Linked DNA regions of Solanum lycopersicum. The protein of the gene in region 2 binds, or shares a complex with, the protein of the main gene of each other region. Links are inferred from orthologs where the notes say so. Each region holds a gene or a part of one and is shown on either strand. Other genes may lie near its edges.

Region 1 (4,177 bases), on a different chromosome or scaffold from region 2:
ATTGCTTCAAAAAAACAGTTTTTGCTCTAGCAATAGACGGAAAATGGAATCAGTATACTCCACTGTTCTCGATGACTGATGTTAACGAGTAAGTAACATCGCACAGAAGGAATCACACAAGAAAATAAGCACTGCATGAAAAATATTTGAATTACTTAATAAACCAGATGAATCAGAGAACATCAGTTTTCAAGTTCATGCAAATTCATATTACAGGATCAACCTTATGAAGGACAATATACTTTAACAGTCTTCAATGAACATATAGTAGTAATTAGTTCGCATACTACTATTTACATGCTATGGCAGAAAGATTGGAAAATGGTACCTCTGTATCTGTGCTTTTATAATATCAACGAGATCCTGAGCAGTGACACTGCAAGAGAGATGACGTCAAAAGGTAGATCAAATATTCACCAAGTTGCTCATCACAATTTAGTATTTCACTGACCTTCCAAATATTTGCTTTCCTTTCCCACCCTTACGCTTCACCTTGAAGGCTCCAATAGTTTCAAAAATTCGAGCAAGCTGTTGTGCCTCATCTTTCACCTGAAATCAAAAACGTTTAACTAAAACCACATTCATTATGAAACTCTTTTAGACTTTTAGTGACTTGAAAATAAAAAAAAAATGTATATATTTTTCAACTTTCAATAGATTAGATTAATCAGAATAATCTAATTACCCGTTGTTTTTCAGCCTCAATTTTCTCGTCTTCCATCTTCATTTCCCTGAGTAAAAAGTACATAATGTTATAAAATAAAAATGCATCCATGAAGTTAGTTAATTCTCACTGATGGCGAAGCACGCTAATAGCTATCAAAAATATCAAACCAAAATTGCTTCTAACAACCATCTCTAACGAAGCCTTCACCTATTTGTTTTGTTCTTTAGTATGAAATAGCAAATCCCTTATATATAAGACTTTTACAGGACTATCACACCATTAATGTTAACAGCTGGTTAGGCCTATTGCTCACCCAAAAGCTAAAGACAAAGTCACTAAGTAGTAGGAAATCTAAAGTTTTATATCCAACCATTATCCATCTTATGCATTGTGGGACATTGTATTGAAGACGAATCCGTTATCAATAAATTATATTTGGTTAAAAGAAGCGAATTTACTTAAACCTATAATCATTAATCATACGAAGCACTATTTCAGGGAACAAAAGCCATACAGAGTTTGTGTACTGACCAAGAGTTATAACACCAAAGCCATACAGAGTTTCTGCTCAAGGAGTATCGAAAATGATTATTCTGGTACGACCTTTGCACGAAGATATGTATAATCCATGGGTCCGTCCACTTTTCAGCTAGTTACAATTAGTTTAAAGGATCCCATAGACTAAGTATACCTATTTTATCTCCATTCGACATAGGTCCATTGGTTTAGATAAAAGATAAAACAAAACAAGCAATAGTAATAACATACTTCCACTCATCAACAGCCAAGCAAAGTATTGTGTGTGGCATTTTAAATAGTTGAACCAAAGAATCCTGACATTAATTATGAGGCATGAAAATAAGATAACGAACAGAAGAACCAAAGTCTTGAGTTCAATAATAAGGTTAAGTCGATAATTTAACTAGTCATAATGCAGAAACAGACACTTGAACTCGGCATCAACTAGCAAGAAAACACTCAAACTCGGCATCAACTAGCAAGAAAACACTCCAACTTTGAGTATGCACATCTACACCTCAACTCATCTCCACTGTGTCAGTTGAACACTCCAACTTACAAAATGATCATCTAGGCACCAACCAAATATATTTGCCACATCAACATCAGGTGTCCATGACACACTGTGGATTATGCCGTTAAACTATACAGGGTGATTGGAAATGTGAATATTCAACACTTAAAATCAACTAACAGTCTCCAAAAGGAATACTTAAAAATCCATCCAACACAAGCAGAACCAATTTTAACAAACATTAAGGGGGTGTTTTGTAGCTAGTAAAAAAGCAACTTACTCATATATTAACTTAATGTATAAGTAATACAATGTTTGGCAGTTAGTTAGAGAATAAGTTATTCATGTATAAAATCAACACAAAGTTTAATTTGTAATTCAAAAACCTACCTAACTAATATATAATGTATTATCTTATGCAGGTTACAAGACGAAATAACTGATACCTGCGTAACTCTACCAAGCTACCAAACAACCGCGAACTCCACAAAAGTACAGCTAATGAAAGAAGAACCTAAAAGGCAATGAAATCAAATGGCAAAAATCTAGTTCAAAGTAGAGTTAAACGAGTTACTTGATAAGTGCAGCTGTCACAATTTGAGCTTTGCCCAATGGTAGCAAATAATTCCTAAAGAATCCAGCTTTAACATCCAAAAGGTCTCCCTTTTTACCCAACTGTGAAATATCCTCTTTCAGTATTATCTGTTCCATCAAAACAAAAAATACCCAATTCAGCTATTAACCATAAATGGACAAAAAATGAGATTTTGACAATTATAAATCCAACCCATTATCACATTTTCAAGAATTAGCTCACCTTTCGAACTTTCTTGGCTTTTTTCTGAGCAACAATTGTTAAAATTGAAGTTCTTTCTGAAAATTTCACTGTTTCGGAAAATGGGTTTTTGGTTAAGCTGTAATTTTGGAGACAAGAAGATGAACCCCATGACGCCATAGCTAAGTCTTCCTTCTTCTTTTCTTCACTTTTTGCTCCGTTTTTCTGTATTTTTTACAGTTTATAGCGTTATCTTATCTGTAATGGCGAACTGAAGAAGATAATGGATGTCTTAATGGGCCAACAAAACTTATTGGGACAATTCATGTAAAGCCCATTTCTTAGTCCAATTATAATATTTTAGGCTATTTGGGCGAAGGACAGAAATCACATACTTTTAAGGCAAAATTACCATTTGTTTTTTACAAGTATATAATTACAAAAATTTCTCAAATGATACAATAATATATTATTGTATCATTTGATACATTAATCTGATGTGTGAGATACATTAATCATTAAGTACGATACATTACATTTATACATAATACACTAATCTGATGTACACTTTATACAAGATACATTAATCTGATGCGCGATATACATTAATCTGATGCGTGATATATATTAATTTGATGTGCGAGATACATTAATTTGATGTGCTGATACGTTAATTTGATGTGTGAAAATGAGGGATTTTGGAGATTTGTAAAACTAATAGGGGATAATAATAGTAAGAGAACTTAAAAGTGAGATTTCTATCATTTACCCTTACTGAAATACACGTCTTATATTTTCCTTATTTTCATATATCCCCTTTTATTTCTAAAGACCTCTAAAATCCATTATTTCTTTAATGTATCCGAGCTACATATTAATGTATCCGAGCTAGTATTTAATGTATCCGAGTTACATATTATGTATGCGATTTATTTTATAATGTACCCGATCTAGTTTTTAATGTATCTGAACTACATATTATGCATCCGATTTATGCTATAATGCATCTAAGATACTCTTTAATGTATTCGAGTTACATATAAATGTATCCGATTTGTGTTACTTTTTAAGGGATTAATGAAATTACAAACTAAAGAGGGATGAATTATAATTTCATATTAAAATTATGTGATTTCTAAAATTTATCCAAAAAAAACAGCCCAACATAATACTCCATCCGTCTCAATTCATGTGGTGTTGCTTGACTAAGTAGTGGACATTGGACACGAAGTTTAAAAAATATGAAAATACTTTGTATATCTCAAAACTATCCTTAGAAAGAACACAACTTTGTAGACGTTTTGTCGAATAAGTGGGATCCAGTCATCTACAAAATATTGACAGTGTCATTAACTATTTATCAAATAAAGAAATGTATCGTTCTTTTAGAATTGACTAAAAAAAAGTTTGTCATCTAAATCCGGAGGGAGAGTATTTTACATTCACTTAGCCATATTTTTTTCATCAAAGTCATACTTGTAAAAGCGTACTCTTTCTGTCTCTCATACATTATTGTTTTGTATTTACACATATAAATAAGGGCAACTTTCACATATGGCAAATAAAAAATTCATATTTATATGCTATAACAAATTTTGTATATTTGCTTCCTATAGCAAACATAGAAACTGTATAATTCGCTATACATATACAGTTGAAACAAGTTGTATAAAACGAAGTGTATAAAACAAGAAAGAGAAAG
Region 2 (2,599 bases):
AAAGCATTTTACACAGTAAACTGCAAGAATGGAAGTGCACCACAGCACCAGTACAACTAACATTAGAACGCTTGGCTAATGCAACCATACAAAAGACAAGACACCAAATCTATAACAGACTTTATTTCATCTTTACTTTGTCAAGGATTCAAGGGACGGCTGAAACCCTGAAACAATCAGCCTTTCCAATCACAGGTATAACATTACACCAAGATAGTGCAAAACGGACAAGTTTCGTTCAGTTTATCAGGTAAAGGGGTGAAAGACAACTCATTTGAAACTATTGAACGTAAACTATGATCAATGAACTACACCTGATCCAAACTGTTTTAAGTTAACACAATTTTTTTGTATCCATTCAGCTCTATTAGGCTCATTACATTCCAATAGTCGAAGCAATAATGGCAATCGAAAGCAAGACAATTCACTGGATTCAACTTAAATGCTCTACCAGCCCAACTAATTGATGAACCATATAACAACAACAGCAAATCCAAAAATTTGAAGAACAAAGACTGAATTTTTATACTTCCATTTTCAAATAATAGACTGAGTTCACAACTGAAACCATCAAAATACAAACACAAAATACACAAAACCCCTAATTCTCCAACAATTTCCCCATTTACGAAACGAACTAAGGGAATTACAAACACACAATAAAGTCTACTTCTTCTTAGTAGGTTTCTTCTTCTTAGGAGGAAGCACAATCTCTCCTTTGAGAGTTGGAATTTGCATAATCTGTGTTAACCCACTAAACTTCTTCCTGAATTTCTCTACCTGGTCAGCATCAAGAAGTAGCTGTGAACGACTACCTTGATAAAAAGGATGATTACCTGACCAAACATCAACTGTGTACTCATTCTTTGTTCCCCCAGTTGTCATCACATGCTCTCCATTACAATATACCTTAGCGTCATCGTAGAATTGCGGATGTATATCCTTCTTCCTGCAGCTCCATCGCATTTGATTGCTCCCAATTCCCATCTGCAAAATTCAATTTTTCAACAATCATATACTTTTTAAAAAAAAAAAAAAAAAGTTATGGGTATGGAGATTTTGGGGAGTTACCTTCTTGGAGGAGAATGAAGGAGGAGCGACATTTTTTTGAAGGAAAGTGTTGGAGAGAGTGAGCGCCATTGTTGGTATTTTTGCAGAAGAAGAATGAGAGATGGAGAAAAAGAGGAACGGGTTGAAGATTAGATTGCTTATCTGAGGATATTGGGCTGTATATTTGATTGGGCTCTACTTGGGCTAGTTTTGTATGATGTTACTTTTGGGCTATTACTTGAAGCCCAAGGAGTAGGTAAGGCCCATTTATGTAAATACTCTTTCAAAAATGGATTAAACTCGTTAGGGTTGTTTGGGATTAGTTATTGATTCGTTATTACTAATTTGATTTCTTGCATAAGTATTGCATATTTTTTTAAGAAAAACTTGTTTGTTGTAAAAATATCATTTACCCTAGTAGAAAAAAGGTTTGACTAATCTCAAAAGTATTTTTATTATTTTATTTTTAAGTAATCGCTGTTTTTGGGTGGGCACATGGTAAAACTCCCGCTCCTATACGTTAGTTCGCAAATCACATAGGAGAAATAATCTGCATTAGGCAAATTCGGTGCGATGAGCTCAACCCAGAATTTACTTTCGCTGGCAAGTGATTTTGAACTTAAGACCTCTAACTTAAAAGTTCCAAGTCTTAACCATCTGGAGAAATAATGCTAATAAAATATTATCTGTAGATTATTTATATTTATACTCATATCACCCACCATGTATAGAGTGTCAATTACGACTTCTTGACCATTGAATTTAATACTATCGGTCTCTCCTCTCCGAGACGTGTAACACAAATTGGCCAATTTATAAATCAAATATCCTCCTTTTTCCTTTGTATCTAGAGTTTACCAAATAGTTTTTTGTTTTTTTTTTTACATATTATTGAAAGATTAATTCAACCAGGCATGATTGATAATAACTTAGTTCGATTATAATCTTTGATAAGAATAAAGTGTTTGAATAAACAGAAGTGATGTTGTGCTTACCGCCATAAGCAAATCCAAGTTATTTATCTTGTCCTACTTTCAATTTTTGTTATCCCACACGTTGTATTGATTCATTAATCTTTTTTTTTAAAAAAAAATAATTTCTTTACTATTATATTTCTTTTTTAATATGCTTTGAAATATCTTAATTTATCAAAAATAAACTCTTCAATTTCATAAAATAAAATCATATGAAATTACACTAGATACATCGATACAATCGATGTTTTTTTTAAGGCATAATAAATCACTACTAGAATACTTCCTCTGACATACAACATGTCGAGCAGTACATTACCAAAAAAAAAAAAAAAAAAACATTATCTAACTTCTTGCTAACTTAAATTAATTCATCTCTAACATAAATTAAATCTCTCTAATTCTCATGATTAATCCTTTAATTTCCTTGCTTTCTTCCACTTCTCTATATTCTTCAACCTTGCATACATTTTTCTAATCTTATTAAGCCTTTTAGATTGCTGAATAATAATATCAGAAACAGATGAACTTTCACTCAATATAATCTCATATCCATCTTTAAATGAATCCATTCC
Region 3 (4,189 bases), on a different chromosome or scaffold from region 2:
AACCTCTTTTATTGTGCATATGTTTCTGAAGCCTATTCAGTCATATAGAAACTAAGCTCCATAGGATTGATGATTGTAGGCAGCCATGACTACAGATGGAAAAGGCGGATGGGAGGAAATCGCAGATTCCCGTCTTGATGGGAAGTATGATCTGCAAGAACTTAATGATGTAGCAGCACTTGCATACAAATGTGTGAATCGTGCTGCCAAGAAACGGCCTTCCATGAGGGACACTGTGCAGGTTCTGTCAAGGATACTCAAGTCTAGACACGAAAGAAAACGCCAGAAGCGATCTTTATCTGCAACAGCAGAGGAGATTACCATCAATGTTGAACAAGTAGATCATCGGAATCCAATCTCTGGACATCGACGTGTTGAATCTATAGATAGCACAGCTGACTCGTATGAAGTTTAACTCAGTTCTTCCATTTGTTTATTTTTTTGTTTCATCTTGTAAAATTGGTCAGGTTGTTAGGTTTCTTATTTACAAAAACACACTTTTGTCTTGGTGAGTTCGTTTGGGATACTTAGGGGTATGTTATAGTCTGAGTGTATGATAGCCTTTGTTCCCAATTTTGTTCTAAGTTTTTGTAAATTTGCGTGGAAGGTTAATGAATGGTAGAAAACGGGGAAAATCCCAGATCAGGCTTTTCCACTTCTTCTACATTAGTATCCTATTCAATCTAATTTTATTAAAAAAGAACCAAGCTTTTTTTATTTTTTAATCCCCCGATACTTTTTTTCAATATATTTATTTGTTCAATTCGTCTTTTATATGTTTTGTCAACCTATAAAACATTAAAACTTGATCATTTTTCCCTTCTTAAATTAGGGCAAATTGATACTTTACAAATTTATAATTACAAAAAATCTTCAAAACGGATACAATAATACAAGCGTTGATACATTAATCTAATGCGCGAGATGCAATAATTTAATGTATGAGATACACTAATCTGATGCGTGAGGTACATTTTATATATGATACACTAATCTGATGCGCGAGGTACATTTTATACATGATACACTAATCTGATGCGCGAGGTACATGATACACTAATCTGATGCGCGAGATATACTAATCTGGTGCGCGAGGTACATTTTATACATGATACACTATATGATGCTCGAGATACATTAATCTAATGTGCGAGATACATTTTTATACATGATACACTAATCTGATGCGCGGGATACAATAATATGATTCGCGATAGAAATTGATGTGATGCATGAAAATTGTGAAATTTTAGAAATTTGTAAAACTTATAAGGGATAATGATAATAATTAAACTAAAAGGTGAGATTTTCGTAATTAATCCACAATCCCGAAATAGCTGAAAAGGGACTTTATAATTGGGCCGTACTCGACCCGTTGAAGGTCCAATTAAGTTGGATCGGGTGTCCAGGGATAGAGAGAGAAGAAGACGAAGGTTCTGGTTTTTATTATCCTATCCAAATACTCAGCTCAGTGTTGTTTCTTCCTTCAACAAAAGGATTTTGCAGAAGGTTTTGAACAATGGCGGCTCTGCAGAGCTCCTTTACTGGTCTCTCCATCTCCTCCACCTCCTTCTTCGGCCAACGCTTCTCTCCTCCTCTCTCCCTTCCTCTGGTATGCTTTCTCATAACTTCAACTATCTGGTTTTCAAACTGAACTATCTCAAATGTTAATTGTTTTGTTTCTACAACTGTATCATTCGGTCCAGCTTGCTCACAACTCGACTAATTACGTAGAATACCTGCTACCTCTAGCCAGAATTGAATTGTGTTGCAAGTAACTTTCTCCATCCAGTCTTACATAAATGCGAAGAAATAAACTAGTGTATTGTGATTTGAACCAATAAATCGTAGTTGTTCACCACTGCATTGACCACTAGGCTATATCCTATCTGTTTATCTCAATTTCAATTGTCTTTGTGAAAGGTCTTTGTTTGAATAATTTGATTTCTATGTATTAGGGATCATAGGAACAAAGGTATCCATTTCCATTGTACTATTGATTATAAATTAATTTTATATTATTTGATTACAATATATTGTGAACTTTTTCTCTGCTTGGTCACCATTGCTACCTGAGTCCTTTCTCATATCATATGTTTTTTCGCTATTATAAGTTTTGACTGCGTGTTTGGTACGAAGGAAAATGTTTACCTAGAAAACAAATGTGGAACTTACTAATTTTCTAGTGTTTATATGGTAACTAAGCTAGATAATATTATTCCAAGAGCATTTATATGTTATATATCCAACAAAATACTATGGAGGCGAGATGGGATGGGGAGTGGGGATTCGGGGATGGACGGACGTGATATGGTCAAGAAGTGGGAGTTGGAGGGATTGGGTGATGATAACTTGAAATGCTACTTATCCATCTTGTTTTTCTTACTTCCACTACGGAAGTCATTTTCTTTATTTTGAACTTGAACTTGTTTTCCTAAAGAAAATATTTTCGTAACACAGGAAAGTTGGAACTACATACCAAACACAGTGTATTTCTAGCTGCAAGAGAATAATTTTATATATAAAGACATCTACAATTTGATACAGTAGTTCCTCAAAAGTTCTTCAAAAAGTCAAGTATATTAAGAATATGCTAATTGGTTAACTTAAACTTACCCCCTCTGTTGTGATTGATGTCTTCCAAGTTCTAACATAGGATGAACCCTGTATTTGACTTAAGGTTCGAAATTTTAATATTTGGACATATTTATCAATTTTTTAATACATATATAGGGTCTGAGTTAAAGCTACTGGGTGCTGCTGAACCCATATTATACATATGCCTCTGTGTTCCTCGATAATAAATCGTTCTCATATTATAGTTACCTGTATAATCAGAAGTTATTGGAAGCAAATATGGAATAAGATCTGTCTCCAGAAAATGCACTTGCTTGTTATTCGGTTAACACTTTTTGGATGTATATCACGCCTTACGCAGTTTGTCACTTTTTATTGTGTCAACTGTAAAACTGGATAATCTTTTGCCACTTTAATGACAATCTCCATATAATGCCGTGCAGGTTAAATCAGCAGAAGGTCCATGTTTGATTACAGCAAAGGTTGGTATCTTGATCCATTTTGGTCCTTTAGTATATTGTCCGAGATAGACATTTCCGGCAACTACTTTTATAGGGTTGCTGTTAATGTGGTCATGCATTTCTTTTATAACTTATGATGTAATGAAGGAAGTGCTCGAACTAACTTGTCAACAGCTTTTAAAAATGGCCACCAAATGTTTGTATTGCTAAACCTTTGGTACTAATTTTTATGGGTATGATATTCTTTTAGCTGAAACAACAGTTAATGAGAATTGTGATTAGAATTAGCTTTATCATTGAATAAGAGCTTCTTTTTATGTCTATTTTGCAGCTTAAGCGATGGGAGCGTAAAGAATGTAAGCCAAACAGCCTTCCAGTACTACACAAAATGCATGTAAGGCTGGGTGATACTGTAAAGGTAATCTCCGGCCATGACAAAGGTAAAATTGGAGAGATTACCGAGATCATCAAGCACAACAGCAAAATAGTAGTAAAAGAGGTGAACTTGAAAACCAAGCATGTGAAGAGTCGGAGTGAGGAGGAACCAGGCCAGATAGTCAAGGTTTTATCTCGATTTCTTTCTTCTCTATCTTGCCTAAAAATTGTTATCTTGAGATTTCATTTCGTCGTGGCTAGCATCGAATTCATCTTTGCCCTAACAAGAAAGTAAAACTTTGTGTTAAGATTTTAGATTGAACTTCCCCAAGTTGTTTGGATTGAGACGTAGTTGTTGTTATTGTTTCAGATTGAAGCTCCTATTCACAGCTCAAACGTGATGCTTTATTCAAAAGAGCAGAAGGTAGCCAGTCGGGTTGGTCACAAAACTTTAGACAATGGAAAAAGAGTCCGGTACCTCATTAAAACTGGGGAAATCATCGATAGTGCAGAGAACTGGAAGAAAGCAGTCAAAGAGAAGGGGAAAACAACAGAAGCAGTAGCTGCTGCTTCCTAGGAGATCCACTGGTCTGTAAATTCTAGTTCGATTTTGCTAATTTTGAATCTTCTCTCATTGATATATTATGATTCTGTTGTCACCTTCACCTTTTTAACTCAGTAACATAAGATTTTATATTAAAGTACATTTACTCAAAAATTCTGTTTGCCAGTACTATTACGTACTAGAGTTTGATGGTTAATGGGTCGAATACAAT
Region 4 (2,260 bases), about 2.7 Mb from region 2:
TCTGGAGGGCAAATAATTGGGTTTCATACTTTGTAAATATGCCATTTACAGTAGGAACATAAAATGTACATTGTTGGCTCGTCTAATCTACTGGATAGTTTGGTTTTGATCGGAATGGTTGTTGCGACATAGTTCAAAGGATTCCGATGTTGAATGAGCGAGTATATTGCCTTAATGCAAATACAAACATAGCTACTGTTTTCTCATTCATTGTTTTTAGTACGAGACCCCTCTCCCCGATCACATTTGATATTTGCTTTACATAATATATAATTTTGCTATTTTATTATACGGAACCGATATTCGAAGGATATTGTTTATTATCTCACAAGCTACGGCATTATCCAGTGGCATTGAATAGATTAAAAAGTAAAGCGTAAAACATTCATTTCAAATCACTTATTGCGCCAAAACTGCAATTGAACAAGTTGCAAATTTCCCCAAAGTATCAGACGGAAAACACCATTATACAAAAGCCGAAATGATAAGTTACAGAAAAATTACTCAGATTTGGCGTCGGACTCTGAAGCTCCGGCGGCAGCGGGTTGACCCGATTCATCACTGGCAAAGGACCACTCCGATGGTAAGGGAGGTAACGGAGCATAAACAGCTGGTCCACGTCGAATATCCCAAGCTTGAGTCTTCCGTGGACGTGTCTTCTTATGGTGAGCTGTAGCCTTCTTCTGTGGCCTAGATGAGCACTCAATTACCAATCCCCCGATACTTGTGGGTGCCGACGCCAACCTGGTGGCTCCGCCGGTGAATCCGGTCGCTGAAACAGTTGAGGAACGCGGCAACACCGCCATCTGCAACCCGAATATGGCGGAGGCTGACATTTTCTTTTTTCTTCTCTTCAAAGGTTTTTCCTTCTTCTGGCTGTGTTTAATGGAACCTTTGAAGTGGATTGCCTTCGTTATCTTCTGGTGACTTCAGTTTCTGCTAAGGTTACGACACCGTTTGGCATTTGGGCCTTAAAGCCCTTTTGGGTTATTTGAGTGTTGGATGTAGTAGAACAACAATTGGTCTGGCCCAAATAAATCTGTGGGATCATTTACACTTTTGCTTCTATTTAGTGTTGGTCTTTAATTTATGTATAGTTTATATTTTTGTATAATAATAACTTACCATTTATGTTCATATATTAAGTCTGAAAACTAAACGTAACTTCACAATCGATAGGAGCGATGGACGGTGTGTATAAAGGGCAGAGACGGAGAAATTCTTAGTTAGAGACCCAAAGGTCATTGTGATTAAAGAATAGTTTATGAAATTTTAGTACATAAGTGAATATAATTTAGAGTCAAAAGTACACGGCCTAATTGAGTTCAAATGAGTAATAATCTTATAAGATCATGGGACACAATTCCTCAACTTGTGTCTGTATGTTTGGTAATGTTTTCAACTAGTCATAATTATTTTAATCTTTCTCTGATATTATATGATTTAATATAAAAGTTATTGTATAATATATGGAGCATAGTAGTTGTATTTTGGACATAACTATGAGAAGTGAATGTTGACTATTAGTAGGTTACATGTTTAGAGGAAATGACTTTACTTCTAAAAGGTTAAATTGTTCCTTCAATTGGTGTCAAATCGTTTCATTTTCCTTCCTTTTTCGATGATATTGAAGTAAACTTCACTTGAATGGATACTTTTATTTTTTCATTACCATAATAACACTTTTTTGTTATTAGTTGCTTATTTAGGCACAACTTGAGTTCACGTGTACCTATTACTCTTTCCTTGCTATAATATATATGTGTAAAATCACCCCACTCCAGAAGGATTAATAGTGTTTTTTATCCATCAAACGTGAACTCAATCACTTGATGTTGAAGGCGACTCAATCAATTATTACATGACAATCAAACACCGTGAAAAAGATACTTGAAAATAAGTAGGTCATACAAAATACACCTGAGTATGATTCTTACACATAAAAGAACAAACATATACGTCTCTTTGCATCTACTGTTAGCCTTGTGAGTAATATTATAGGCCAGTCTATCCCATTTGTAGTCCGTGACCTTTATTGTTCCCCCACTTATATGAATCATCAAGATTAATGGATTGACCAACTTCATCTGCACTAATCAGCCCAAAACATCCTATAGCCGAGTAAAAATGAGTTGGTTACCTCTAGCATTTTGGCAATTAGTGCTTTGTTTTATTGGAAAAAGAGTTAAATTGCATATTTTTATAACTCTGGTGTCCGATCCAGTATCATGTACCCTGATAGTCAAAGATGAAAGAAAAT
Region 5 (4,061 bases), on a different chromosome or scaffold from region 2:
ATCTTCTGAATCATACATTTCATTCTGTACTCATACAAACTGTGACAAAGACTCATGCTTTCAGTAACACAATTTACAAACAAAAAAAGACAACAATGGCAGAAACACAGTTTAGAAAATGTGCCTGCAAATGTGTTCCCAAGTAGCTACTAGCAATAACCAAAACGACAACAGAATGTTTGAAAAATCGAAAGACCATTATCAGCAAGTGGTGATGGGATTATCTTCAGAGGATTCAGCAGCAGAAGCAACTATCAACTGAGGCTCAGGGATGACACCTTCTCTTCGTGCCTTTCTACGTTCACGTTGTAATCTGAAGGACTCTCTCTTTCGGTTTCTATAGCTGTTGGGGTTTTCAGGTTGCACCTCGCGTGGATAAACACTTATCTGCACAGTCAGTATACGTTAATAACACTCGTGTACCACATATCTACAAGCAGTAAGCTAAAGAACTCAACCTTTTTCCTGTCAGGTCCAAACTTTTCAAATTTGACTAGTCCATCAATCAAAGAAAATATTGTGTGATCTTTGCCAAGTCCAACATTCTTTCCTGGGTGGAACTGGAAATATCACCACGAGAACGATTAGGGAACAGAATATATGGCAATGCTAAACGGAGAATGCAACTTTTGAACTACTCTTAGAGCAAACAAACAGACGATAACAGGATCATATCAGAGCCGAAAAAAAGTAAAACTAATACCAACCTCTGGCATAAACCCTTTTACTATCTAACTGATAGAAGACGACATCTACTCATAGCATCATACTGTCAGAAACTGACACTTTCGGCAAAGAAAAAAAACTCAAGTCGGATTATAACAAATGTGCATTTCTTAAAGAGAACTTCCAACTATGTCTTCACGACACGAGCTCAAAACCTTAAACCTTATAGCAATCTGTTACTTCAAATGACAAGATATGTATCCCTCTAGTACCTTGTTTTGTACTCAATCTAACGCCCTCTAGACAATCCACATATTTCTAACAAATAATATACAAACCAAACGAAGAAAGCCAGACGAATGGAGCAGAGTTATTGACAAGATGCCAGGACCTAGTATGTTTGTGAGGTATTGAGCAAAAAAACTGGAATTACACTCTACTTGGGTGGGTTCATCCGAATTCATTTCAAGCACTATTAATTAATCAAAAGAACTATCAGAACTTCCACAGCAAATACGAGTTTTAGGCAAAAATAAAAAAGAGAGAGGAGATCCAGAAGAAGTAAAATTGAAACCTTTGTACCGCGCTGGCGAACGATTATAGAACCGGGCTTGGCGACTTGGTCACCATAAATCTTGACACCAAGCCTCTGTCCAGGAGAATCTCGACCATTCTTAGTGCTACCAGCTCCTTTCTTGTGTGCAGACTCAATTGTCAATGGAGATTTCAACGGGAAGGAAACGGAGAACTTAGGGGCAATGGGAAGAGAAACCCCAAGGAGAGAATTGGAAGATAAGGAGAGTCCTTTGAATGAGGAAACAAGACTCAAACTCACTGCCATTTATACGCTGCAAAGAAAACAAAGAAATTCAGTAGCCTCTCGTGGTACTTACTATCAGAGATGAGAGGCCTAAAGGAAAGGAAGTGATATTTAACAATGGGAAAAATATGAGCATAGAACTACTAAGAGGACAAAACTATTACCATAACAACTACCAAGGATCTTAATCGCCAATCTAAAATTTCCCCGGATCATCGCGAACACAAATTGGAGAAATATATTTTTGATAGTAAGTCTACAGAAGGTTTGACTCTGACTTTAACACTGCTCGGTATGACTAAAACAGTAGAAGAGTGATAAAAATGGTCCTAAACATATTTCCTAAGAAAAAAAGTTTTCCATCAAAAGGGGGAAATAACTACTCTCACTTATGAGATAAGTCATTTCCTTTTACTACGATTTCAGCTCTTTCTCCTTATCGCTCGCTCCAACCACTGTTTAGATAATATTGTCATTTCTTAATACTCAGCTTTATCAAAATATAAAACCAATTTGCTGAGCTTATTATCAATCTTCAAAAAAAATACAAAACACACACTCCTAACAATAGAAGTACCTTAAGTCCTCATTACAACTATCTTTACTCCATTATATATCTCTTGCATTTCAATACACATTACTTCCACTCATTGTTTTTCTTTTCAAAATTACACCAAACATCAACCCCCCTCCACCACAAACGCATTTCGCAAACTCTACACCACAAAATATTCCGCAAATAAGTCCTTACGCAAGCAATTGGTCATAAAAGAACCATATTTAATCATAAAGGACAAGTCTTTAAACCACAAAACAAAGAGGAATCAAAGGAAACCAGTATCAACAACAAAATAAACACTAGTATGTTCATCAAGATTGCAGTCCACCTAAAATATTAGTAGCGGTCAATAAAGTAGATTGATAACCATAACGTCTCAAGTTCAAATCCTAGTGAAGCATAAATACTAACCCCCTCCATTTCAATTTCCAATAGCAACTCTTCAATTCTAACTTTTCACATTAAACAACATTTTGATACATTCGACATAACATTAGTTTTACTTCAACCCCACTTGATTAAAAAAAAATCTTTACTTTCTTATATTATTTGCCAAAGTCGAACCACACAAACAAATTGAAATGGAGAGAATAGTAAACCAAGATTTGCGAGTCAGCTAAAATTAAATACATTTTCGAACACCCAATTAAACATAGTACAAGAAAAAAACATTGAATTTACAGAAGAGGGGAAAAGAGATGAACTCACCGAGGGGATTATGGAGCCACAATGGCAAAATCTTCGAGATAAAAAGATAAGAGAAATGTCAGCCATCCTTTTTATAATATACTTGACCCGTTTTGAATTGGGCTTTTTTTAGCTTGTTTTCGGGTTAAGTTTAATGGTTTCGTTTATCGAACATAAGTTATGGACATAAATTAATTTTGCTTATAAATATTGAAGTTGTAAATATTTTTATCGAACTTGTAAAGGGGAATAATATGATTTTAATTAGTAAAATAAAATGTTTTTTCAGATATCTTTTCTTCGAAACTAAAATCCAAGTGATTGTTTTTATATTTTTGAAAACGTTTTTTAATCTCAAATTGATATTCTGCGAAAAGTATTTTCAAAAAATGAAATCATATTTAAAAATTTTTAATTTAATTTTTATCGAGAAAATTTCATACTCCTACTTACGGGCATATATAATATGATTTTTCGATAAAAAGTATAAGAATAATTTTTTTTTGCATACCTCCATACAAGTACGGTTAAGAATGTCAAAATGAGCCTAAATATATATAACTCGTCTAACTCATTTAAAATTTTATAGGCGGGAGCTCTAGATATTTTGAATTGGATCAATCTCAACTTATTTACGTTTTAGCCCATTTTAAAATAATTTTTAATTGTGTCCAATGTAATCTCTAATTTCAACATGTTTTAAGAGTATTTTTTGTATTGGTGTAATTTATGTTCTCATATTGAATGCATAAATTAGAATCTATTTTATATTTTTTATGATTTATATATCAATTTTATAACTGTTTTTATTGAATTAAAATTCAAATAATAGTTATTAAAGGAAAATAACAATATGTTTAAATTATTGAGATTAAACATGTCAAATCGCACAGGTCATGATCCAATCCAATGTTTATCCTATTTGAGCCTAACATAATTTGAAGAGGTTATGATTCGACTTAAATTTTATTTGAACTCATTTTAATATTTTAAATTTTAATTCAACCCGATTATTTAACACGCCGACCTACAATAATGCCACATTATTCTTGAAAATTGCTCATATTATGCTTCTTGAACTAGTTAGTGGAATTGATTGCTCGAGTCAAAAGTTGTGTTGGTAAATTAAAGGATTTAAAAGAAGAATATTTAAAGTAAAATAGATTGTTTAATTTATTTACTTTTATAGGACAAGAACAAGTGGAGAATATAAATGCCATGAACCTAATTCTTTCAAAGAATAAATATATTTATTGGTTAAAAAATAATATTAGGTGAACATTTTAAATATATCTAAATTTCAATATATAAAATTAATACAATAAAATA
Region 6 (4,246 bases), on a different chromosome or scaffold from region 2:
ATACTCTACCTGAAAAAACAGAATGTATTCTCTTAATATTCTATACGCTACTTATCATAAAGAGGCGCCAAGATATTCGAGCACAACCGACAAAAATGCAGGAAAGCAGGGGGGGAAAGGAAAGATCATGATGATGTAAGGCAAAGGATGCTTCACTGGGAATATTTGATTACTCTTGTCCCTAATTTGTTTTATTTTACCTATTAGCTCAAAGGCTTTAAGTAGTTTTGGACTAAAAAAACAAAGGAATTCAGGATGCAGTTTGACAAATGCAGCAACTTAGAAAGGGAGTCAAAGCAAGCAAGAGTGTCAGTGATATAGTGCTCCTAATGACTCTCATAATGTGCTTTCTGATTAGTAAACTAAAGCTTCATCAGTGATCTAAAAGCCAAATACTCTGCCATTACTGGATTTCACAAAAGGTAAGTCAACCCTTTACAATTTGTTGTCATACAATGAGAACGAATTAAACCAAGCTGTTATCATCATATTCAAAATATAATGTACACCAGAGGGGCGAACACACCGAAGATTCAAGTTCTGTAGATTTTTCCTTCCAAATCTGCAGCTAACACACTCTCTCAGCCTCTCATTATTGGTTTCGTCTTCTTTTTAACTAGTTTGGTCACTTGTAATAAGGACACAGGTGGGTAAATAAATATTAAAAAATGCAGAAGGTGAATTTGAGAGGTAAATGGATTTACATATTCTTGATAGCGAGAAATCTACTTTCATAAGCTTTGAATCTCATAAAGCTTTTATTTCACTATTAGGCTGCAAGTTTCATGGAGAGAAGAATAGGCAGATGGAAATCCTGCTCATTATCAAGAGAGGTGAAAGCAAGAAAATGAAGCTCCCTTTAGGCTGCAGTCAGTTTTTAATGAGACCTAAAAGGCCTCGACAAGAATTATAATATCTTCTCATGCATATAGTATTTCTTTTGCAGCTTTGTCTATGAATTGCAGCAAAGGAATGCAAACTTTGTTAACCAAAAAACTGTTGATACCATCTATATAAGAAATTTATCATGAAATAATTTATAATTCTTCACTTGGACAATCTGTTATGCCTTAAATATCGGCAATCCTTAAGTCAGAGAACAAAGAGCCAAGGAGGAAAAATTAGGGATCATTCAGTATATGAAGACAACTATGGACAAACTTCCAAACTATATACCGTATTTTATTGATCTTGTTGTTATTAATGCAGTTAACGCGGCAGCTCCCTTTAATCAATATGCTGTAGTCCATCAAGCTCTTCCCAGTTTGTTAATTTTGCACATGGTGAGGTTGTCCTATCCCTATTTCTTGCGACTGTAGACAGACTTTTAAACCCCTGGAATGATGACACCCCTTTAATCTCTCCTCTTGAAGTTATATAAGAAGTTGTTTAGATAGTAAACTATAATATGGTTTTTAATCATTGATTATCATATGTAACTTAATAATATGTGATTAATGTCAAGTGCTCAGCTTACCATACCACAGATTTCAAGAAAACAATATATTTAGTTTGCAAATTGCAACTGAATCAAACTTTTTCCAACTTTGGCTATGTCTTCAGATCCTCCACATTGTAAGGGATAATTTTCATCCCATATCAGCAATACTAACTTTCACTTGGTACTAAACAATCTAACGTAATGTGCTATCAACACAAAGCACATATCTGAATTCTAGACACCCGACTACTAAATGGGGTCTCAGGTATGGAATGAGCAATTATCTGAGTAACACTCATGATGATTTCGGTCCTGTGACCCTTTGAGTACGGCCACTCCACACACACACAAATAAAAAGGCTACCTGCACCAAAATGATGATTCATCGTATTAACATTTGAAAGTTATCATCTTTCCTTTTTCCCCATCAATGTTCAAGAAGAACTTACTATCCCTACTTCATGGGTAGAGGGACCGAAGGTGTATACCATACAGTATCCCTTTGCATGTGATCCAATTAATTGAAATTCAGAAAGCTGAAATGTCACCTCTACCATCAATAGGTCTACAAAGTTAATATTTCCGCCCCTCGAACTCGTAACCTTCAGGTCAGCAAAGGAGCAACCTTGCAATTGCACCAAGACTCTTTTTTTATTTTAAATAATGGTAATGTCGGGGTCAGTTTGCACATACTTCAACAACCATTACCCTAAGTAACAAGTACTTAACTAAACTTCAAATTATCAGATACAATTTCCTTTTGACAATTGTGGTGTATGGCCAGTATGCGCACACCTCGACTAATTCTAAGGTTACCTACTGCCTCCCCACAAGCACAATTTCTTACACACAATTCACAATATTGTTAAAACCCAACAATTCACTGAAACAAACAAAACAACAAACAGTTCATGTGCATATTACTAGACCAAAAAAGAAACAACCCCAACAACTAAAAACACAGAGAACACAACAAAAGGGTAGAGAAATTACGAGCAACAGGTTGAAGGGCTGTCTTGAAAGGAACAGAAAGTGAAGCAGGAGAGCTCAAATGGGTGCTTGAAATCTTGATGCCACTCAATTGAGAAGTCACAAAACTCAACTCTGAGCTGAATTTCACCTTGGGTAAAGCCCTTTTGGTCACTGCAAATGTCCTGTAACCACCCACTACTGGTCCTCTGAGGCTTATACCCGCTGTGATTGTCGCCATTTTTGCAACCAATTCCTCAAAGCAAGAATCTTTTTTGTCTCAAGAATGTTGCTTTTTTTTTTGAAGAAGGAAGTGAAGAGTGGATAACGAAATGGATGTGGGTAATGATTTTATTTGTTGGCCTTCATATTTTTTTTTATTGTTATTATATATTTAACTTATTTTTTCCTTTAGTCTAATAATATCAAACGATTTAAATAAAAGAATAAATAAATAACAAAATCTAACTTATTTGGAAGTAATATGTTATCATAGTTATGCTTTAATTTTATTTGCATTACTTGTGTTATCTTAGTTTATGCTTTAATCTTATTTCCATTACTTACTCACGTGGAAGTCTAATATCACAAACCAAACAAAGAGAGTATTAAGCCTATACCAAAATCAAATCATTATTAAGCCTATACCAAAATCAAATCATTATAATATTAAGCGTTTTCTCCCTCTTCAGGTTCCACTTATGATAAACCAAACAAATAGACCAAAATCAAATCATTATAATATTGAACGTCTCTACTATCTTCAAATCAATCACACTATGTTATGAATGTCCTTATCTCTCTAACCAAACAACCCCTAAAATCTGTTATCCCATCAACTGTCCAACTGAGTCAGTGACCAACATCATTTAGAACTACAAGCACAAGACATTAAGGCAAAATAATAAGAAGGTAAATAAAAGATTTCAAGAAGCCATAAGATTGTGCTCCTGTATATTGTAAGTAGTAGGTAAACTGTTGCAACTTAAAAACAAAGTTCATAATTTTTAGATGACATAATACAATGGCTCATTCCTTCATCCCATTCTACATCTGGGAGAAAACATGTATTCCGCTTCAAATCGGGTACGACTCTCGCACTAACAAAAGGGTTAACACCAAGGCATCTCAATAATGGTAAAAATTGCAAACAAACATTCAGTTAAGCATTGTGAAATCCTATGTTAACGTCGTTCAAGTTTGGGGAGATCTGCATAAGGTTTTGAATGGGCCAAAAGAAATTAGTTTTGTTTAGCAAACTTTGTCTGATAGAGATCAAGGGGAACATACTCCACAGTCACTATTCGGTCGTCAAACAGTCGTCCATGTAGACAATGAGCAGCCGTGCATGCAGCTTCTGCTCTTCTAAACTCCACAAGTACACAGCCCGGATCAAACACTTCAGTAATAGGGATTTCTTCCTTTTTCTCAAGTTCCTCTGGAGCATCCAACTCTTCTTTCGATGAGAATTCTGGTTCAGAAGGTCTATCGTCTACATTTCCATTGTCTTCCTCTGACTTAATTGCTTCCTTAACTGGTGAGTCATTGTTTATCTCAAGATGCTCCAGTGGACTGGGATTAGCATTTTCATCTTTCCTTTCTGAAACCATACCAGTACGGGTAACCTCGAGATTTTCTTGGAAGATTGTCTCTTGAGCAGAGACACTACTGTCATCTGGTAGAGGGTCAGAGCTGTCGTCTTTTATTAGCTCCTCAGAAGGTCTATCATCCGAATGACTGCCACCAGCCAAAGCATCGTCATCCCCAGCCTTTTGAGAATCATCTTGTGAAGATTCTGATATGTGTGTTTTACTATCAGCACATCTTTCAGCTTCC
Region 7 (4,107 bases), on a different chromosome or scaffold from region 2:
ATGTCTCATACATGGCTGTAAGCTCACTGATTTAGACAGTTTTCATGTTTGCATGGTAATTATTTGCAGACATAGTTAAAACTATGATAGACTACGGTGCGCCTTGCTTTAAGGGCAAACAGATAGGTTAAAAAAGTTCAAACTACTTTATAGTTATTCAGATATCACTAAAAACAGTTCTTTGATACCTGTCTGTGACCAATATTCCTTCTGTAGTTCTTTTTCTTCTTATACTTGAAGACGATAACCTTCTTATCTTTCAACTGCATGGAAATGTAATAATGAGCCAACAGATATGTCAAGTAAACAAGATATACTCAGTGGAAACTACAGCAGAGGAAGAATGATGTCTGACCTGCTCTTCAACAACAGCGTGGACTGTTGCATTTGGCACCACTGGTTTTCCAACCCAAGTACTTGTTTTTGTTCCCACAAGTAACACCTTGTTTAGGATAATCTGCAGAAGCAACAAGTATAGATGCTTCAACAATGATCCTCATTGTGGAAATTTTGAAATAAGAGTATTGCCAATATGGCAAGAAAACCTTGACATACACATATAACCCTTATATCAAGTGTTAGCTTCCGTGGAAAATAACTGGTGAAGACAATGTATTAAAGATAATAGAAATAGGACAAGCAAATGTCACTATTGGTTGAAATTGATGCCTTTTGACATAATTGAGAAATTGCTGCAAGCAAGTTCTTTTTGATTGGACACCACAATGTTGATATGAGATAGCGAGACAAGGAAAAAGAAAAACAACTCACGTAACTAAAGCCAAAGCCACAGAGAGGTAACCAGATTTTGGGAAATCAATTGTAAATTAAGACCAAAAATGCTCACTTTGTCATTGACATTTGCACCTTTAAGCCTCTGGGTGTAGATATACCGCCCAGGAAAAACAATATATTGCCGAGATCCAACCTATGAAAGCGAAAGAGCAAAAATGAACAAACAGCTTAACGTATTAAAGACAAGCCCCATAGAGTTATATTAGGGTAGTGTCACATTCATCTGAAAAAAAGAAAAAAGAACAAAATAAAGCACAAAATTTGACACCTAGAGGACTTGAAAATTGTTAGCAGCAGGAATAATGATCAGATTGAAATAGCAGCTATAATCTCCTCGCAAGAGTGAGTATTTTCCACATGGAAAAGAAAAAATATTCATCAAATAAGTAGTAAACATGAATGTTTTCTCCGGTTAAATACAATAGTTCACAATTCACATTAAATAAAAGATGAAAGTGTAGAATATGGCAACCTCAAAATCAAATTTCAACAATTACTAGACTTTTGCTTAAATGTTTGCATGGACTTGTAGATATGTATTCCCTCTGACAACTGTATAACACCTAAAGTTAGAACTAAATGATAGTTATCAGTTATTTATTAGTTATATTACTTCTAATCTGCCATATGAACCCCTTTGCAACTTAACTAGAGGAAACGCCTACCGAAAATAGATGGCCCACTTGTAAAACGAAATTAAACTAAAACCAAAGAGAACATAGACTGAGATTTTTGAAATTGGATGGTGTCCAGAACACAGGTAAGGATATACCAAGTACTAAATCTTCGTCATGTCTTCATAATAATTATAGTTTTCTGTTAACATCAGCCAACTCTACTGGAGAATACTAAGCATATAAAAAGTTCAGTTCAGCTTATTTAGCACGGACTATTTTAACATTTCCAATAGCCACCACCACTGCCAAGTCAATATGACACAAACATATAGACATGTGTATTGTTCCTTTAAGACACCCTAAAACAGAATGCTAAACCTAAGCATCACAGAATGGCATTGACGTATAAATAACAGAACGAAAGAATTTCATTGTAACACTCCCTATTTTCACCACATACACCATAGGAAGCAGTAATGTATCAACAGTACTAGCAAACACGAAATATGAACTAAGTGAGTGAGGTGTGGTGGAACATTCTTCATGAAAACAAATTTTTGGAACTTCTAATCCGTTTGACATAAAGGAAGTTTTCGTTCTAGTGGCAAAGGTTAATTCGAGAAATTGCTTCAATAATAGGTCTGAGTAATTTTGAATTCCCCTTATTAAAATTCCGACTGCTTTTGTGATATCAAAGGTTGAGCACATGACAATCTTGAACCAAAGTTGTGATCTCTATACAACAAAGTAACATTCCCTTAGAGGGAATAGATCAATTTCCTATTTCCTTCGAGAAAAAAATTCAAGGTAACAGACAACTGAAACATTTTCCGCTGAATTTTCAAATTTTCATTTGGGACCTCATAATTTTTTCAATAAAAATCTAAATTGTACCCTCACATTGATTTCGAAATTGAAAACAAACAGATATGTCTACACAAATTTAAACATGAATGGAAGTGAGTCGTCACCATAACAACAGCAAAGATTTCTTCCCGTTTTGGTTCCAAGCTAGTGGCTTCCACAACAGGCTCTTCTTGGTCAGCTTCAACTTCAGCTACTGGAGCTTCAGATTCTGAGTATTTGGGTACAAAAGAGGATAAAGAATTGGGCTTGGAGAAACGGAGATTGAGAGAGGAAAATGAGTGAGATAGAAAAGTAACATTGGAATTTGCTTTGGGAACAGAAAGGGTGTTAAGAAAAGTTTGGTTCTTGGAAAGTGCTGTTGAGGGGGAAGATGTAGAACACAGGGAAAGGGTTGCCATTGTTAGAGAGTGAGAGGTTTTTTTTGGGTATTCTCTGTCTCTCTCTCAATTTTATCTGTTGAAGCCTATCCTATCTGCAGTGGTAGCCAAATGACTATTTTACCCCGAAATCCTTTATTTATTTTTTTAAAAATAATTGTATTAGAAATAGTATAAATTTACATATTCTCGTAACATAATACTCCCTTCGTTTCAAAAAGAACGTCTCTATTTCCTTTTTTAGTCTGTTTCAAAACAAAAAACTCATTTCCTTTTTTCATAATATTTTAACTTGAACTTTCCACGTGACATGTTTAAGACCACAAGATTAAAGGATATTTTGGTACATTTGACATAACTTTAATTTAGAATCACAAGATTAAAAAATTTTTTTTTCTTCTTAAATTCTGTTTCAAGGCAAGCTAGACCATCCTTTTTGAAATGGAGAGATTAACAAATATTCTAAATTATATAATAGGTCATTTACTCTTGAAGCCATCATTGTTTAATTTTGACTCGAGGTTAGTTATGTAAAGCCTCCCATCTACTTTTTGCAATTACATATACATTATATTTAATTTTCATAGTGCTAGTACTATTTTTGATATGTTTTATTTAATTTGAGGCTCTTAAAAAATAATTATTCTATCTTTAAAACGTAGAAGTAAGATTACAAATACGTGGTAAGAAGAGTAAAATAAGAACAAAAGTAATGCCATTTGTTATGTTAAAAATCAAGCCCGCAAAATTGGAAGGAAAAAAAAATAAATCAAAAAAATTACACAAATAAAAGAAGACTGAAATTTATTTTAGTGTTTAATATATGACAAAATGATCTTAAAAGGTACTCAATTTCCAGTAACATCAAATTAATATAGACATAAAGAAGGTTTTTACAACACTTCTCAGGTACAAACAACTGTAATATTTTAGAATTTATGAACTAGAGGAAAAACCCTCAAATTATATAAGATAAAGTAGCAAAAGTAGGAGTAACGTTTGTTTACATCCCACCCTCTCCAGATCTCGCTCGTGGAAAGATACTGGGCATGCTGTTGCTGAGAGTAGCAACAACTGAAATTTTGCTACTATAGCACTAAATCTATCTACCATCACAAAATAATAGAGCACCAATATATGCTGGTAATAGCCCAACATTGTCTTGGCAAACACAGCTCTACTTGACCCCTCTCGTCCGGTTGAAAGCCTCCTTGAACTCCTCTGGTTATTGGTTGGTCCAACGTATTCTATCAGCTTGGTCTGGTAAACAATCATGCTAGAATTAGAGAGTTAGATACCAAACAATCTAAATATAATGTTGGTATAATACATTTCCTAATAATATGCATTTTTTGATATATTATAGAAGTAGAAACCTTCTATTCTTTTTTCTCACTGTCACTTGCTCCAAGTGCATCAGCCAAGTTAAAATTCAAATTGCCTCTCATTGT

Evidence for each region.
Region 1: large ribosomal subunit protein bL31c (region 2) and large ribosomal subunit protein bL9c share a complex: the UniProt entries of both Arabidopsis thaliana proteins name them as parts of the 50S ribosomal subunit. The link is inferred for Solanum lycopersicum from reciprocal best matches to the Arabidopsis thaliana genes emb2184 and RPL9.
Region 3: large ribosomal subunit protein bL31c (region 2) and large ribosomal subunit protein uL24c share a complex: the UniProt entries of both Arabidopsis thaliana proteins name them as parts of the 50S ribosomal subunit. The link is inferred for Solanum lycopersicum from reciprocal best matches to the Arabidopsis thaliana genes emb2184 and RPL24.
Region 4: large ribosomal subunit protein bL31c (region 2) and large ribosomal subunit protein cL38 share a complex: the UniProt entries of both Arabidopsis thaliana proteins name them as parts of the 50S ribosomal subunit. The link is inferred for Solanum lycopersicum from reciprocal best matches to the Arabidopsis thaliana genes emb2184 and PSRP6.
Region 5: large ribosomal subunit protein bL31c (region 2) and 50S ribosomal protein L27 share a complex: the UniProt entries of both Arabidopsis thaliana proteins name them as parts of the 50S ribosomal subunit. The link is inferred for Solanum lycopersicum from reciprocal best matches to the Arabidopsis thaliana genes emb2184 and RPL27.
Region 6: large ribosomal subunit protein bL31c (region 2) and large ribosomal subunit protein bL28c share a complex: the UniProt entries of both Arabidopsis thaliana proteins name them as parts of the 50S ribosomal subunit. The link is inferred for Solanum lycopersicum from reciprocal best matches to the Arabidopsis thaliana genes emb2184 and PRPL28.
Region 7: large ribosomal subunit protein bL31c (region 2) and large ribosomal subunit protein bL21c share a complex: the UniProt entries of both Arabidopsis thaliana proteins name them as parts of the 50S ribosomal subunit. The link is inferred for Solanum lycopersicum from reciprocal best matches to the Arabidopsis thaliana genes emb2184 and RPL21C.

The regions. Positions count from the first base shown.
Region 1 is NC_090810.1:57,591,530-57,595,706, forward strand, and holds the start of large ribosomal subunit protein bL9c, read right to left. Parts: upstream 2,801-4,177; 5' UTR 2,656-2,800; coding exon 2,518-2,655; intron 2,403-2,517; coding exon 2,275-2,402; intron 732-2,274; coding exon 686-731; intron 550-685; coding exon 452-549; intron 377-451; coding exon 329-376; intron 1-328. UniProt on the Arabidopsis thaliana protein: Binds to the 23S rRNA.
Region 2 is NC_090803.1:66,609,345-66,611,943, reverse strand, and holds large ribosomal subunit protein bL31c, read right to left. Parts: upstream 1,291-2,599; 5' UTR 1,141-1,290; coding exon 1,072-1,140; intron 988-1,071; coding exon 667-987; 3' UTR 501-666; downstream 1-500. Other genes in the region: mannan endo-1,4-beta-mannosidase 7-like, read right to left, coding at 2,435-2,599. UniProt on the Arabidopsis thaliana protein: Binds the 23S rRNA.
Region 3 is NC_090806.1:68,736,326-68,740,514, forward strand, and holds large ribosomal subunit protein uL24c, read left to right. Parts: upstream 1-1,389; 5' UTR 1,390-1,519; coding exon 1,520-1,612; intron 1,613-3,020; coding exon 3,021-3,059; intron 3,060-3,369; coding exon 3,370-3,600; intron 3,601-3,783; coding exon 3,784-3,990; 3' UTR 3,991-4,131; downstream 4,132-4,189. Other genes in the region: calcium/calmodulin-regulated receptor-like kinase, read left to right, coding at 80-415. UniProt on the Arabidopsis thaliana protein: One of two assembly initiator proteins, it binds directly to the 5'-end of the 23S rRNA, where it nucleates assembly of the 50S subunit. Required for optimal plastid performance in terms of photosynthesis and growth.
Region 4 is NC_090803.1:63,903,610-63,905,869, forward strand, and holds large ribosomal subunit protein cL38, read right to left. Parts: upstream 837-2,260; coding exon 501-836; downstream 1-500.
Region 5 is NC_090810.1:58,850,415-58,854,475, forward strand, and holds the start of 50S ribosomal protein L27, read right to left. Parts: upstream 2,801-4,061; 5' UTR 2,754-2,800; intron 1,515-2,753; 5' UTR 1,508-1,514; coding exon 1,241-1,507; intron 561-1,240; coding exon 459-560; intron 388-458; coding exon 202-387; 3' UTR 1-201.
Region 6 is NC_090808.1:67,409,465-67,413,710, forward strand, and holds the start of large ribosomal subunit protein bL28c, read right to left. Parts: upstream 2,801-4,246; 5' UTR 2,652-2,800; coding exon 2,435-2,651; intron 10-2,434; coding exon 1-9. Other genes in the region: uncharacterized protein, read right to left, coding at 3,652-4,246.
Region 7 is NC_090805.1:43,261,584-43,265,690, reverse strand, and holds the start of large ribosomal subunit protein bL21c, read right to left. Parts: upstream 2,801-4,107; 5' UTR 2,678-2,800; coding exon 2,384-2,677; intron 929-2,383; coding exon 848-928; intron 458-847; coding exon 356-457; intron 264-355; coding exon 189-263; intron 1-188. Other genes in the region: calcium-dependent protein kinase 11, read right to left, coding at 4,036-4,107. UniProt on the Arabidopsis thaliana protein: This protein binds to 23S ribosomal RNA in the presence of protein L20.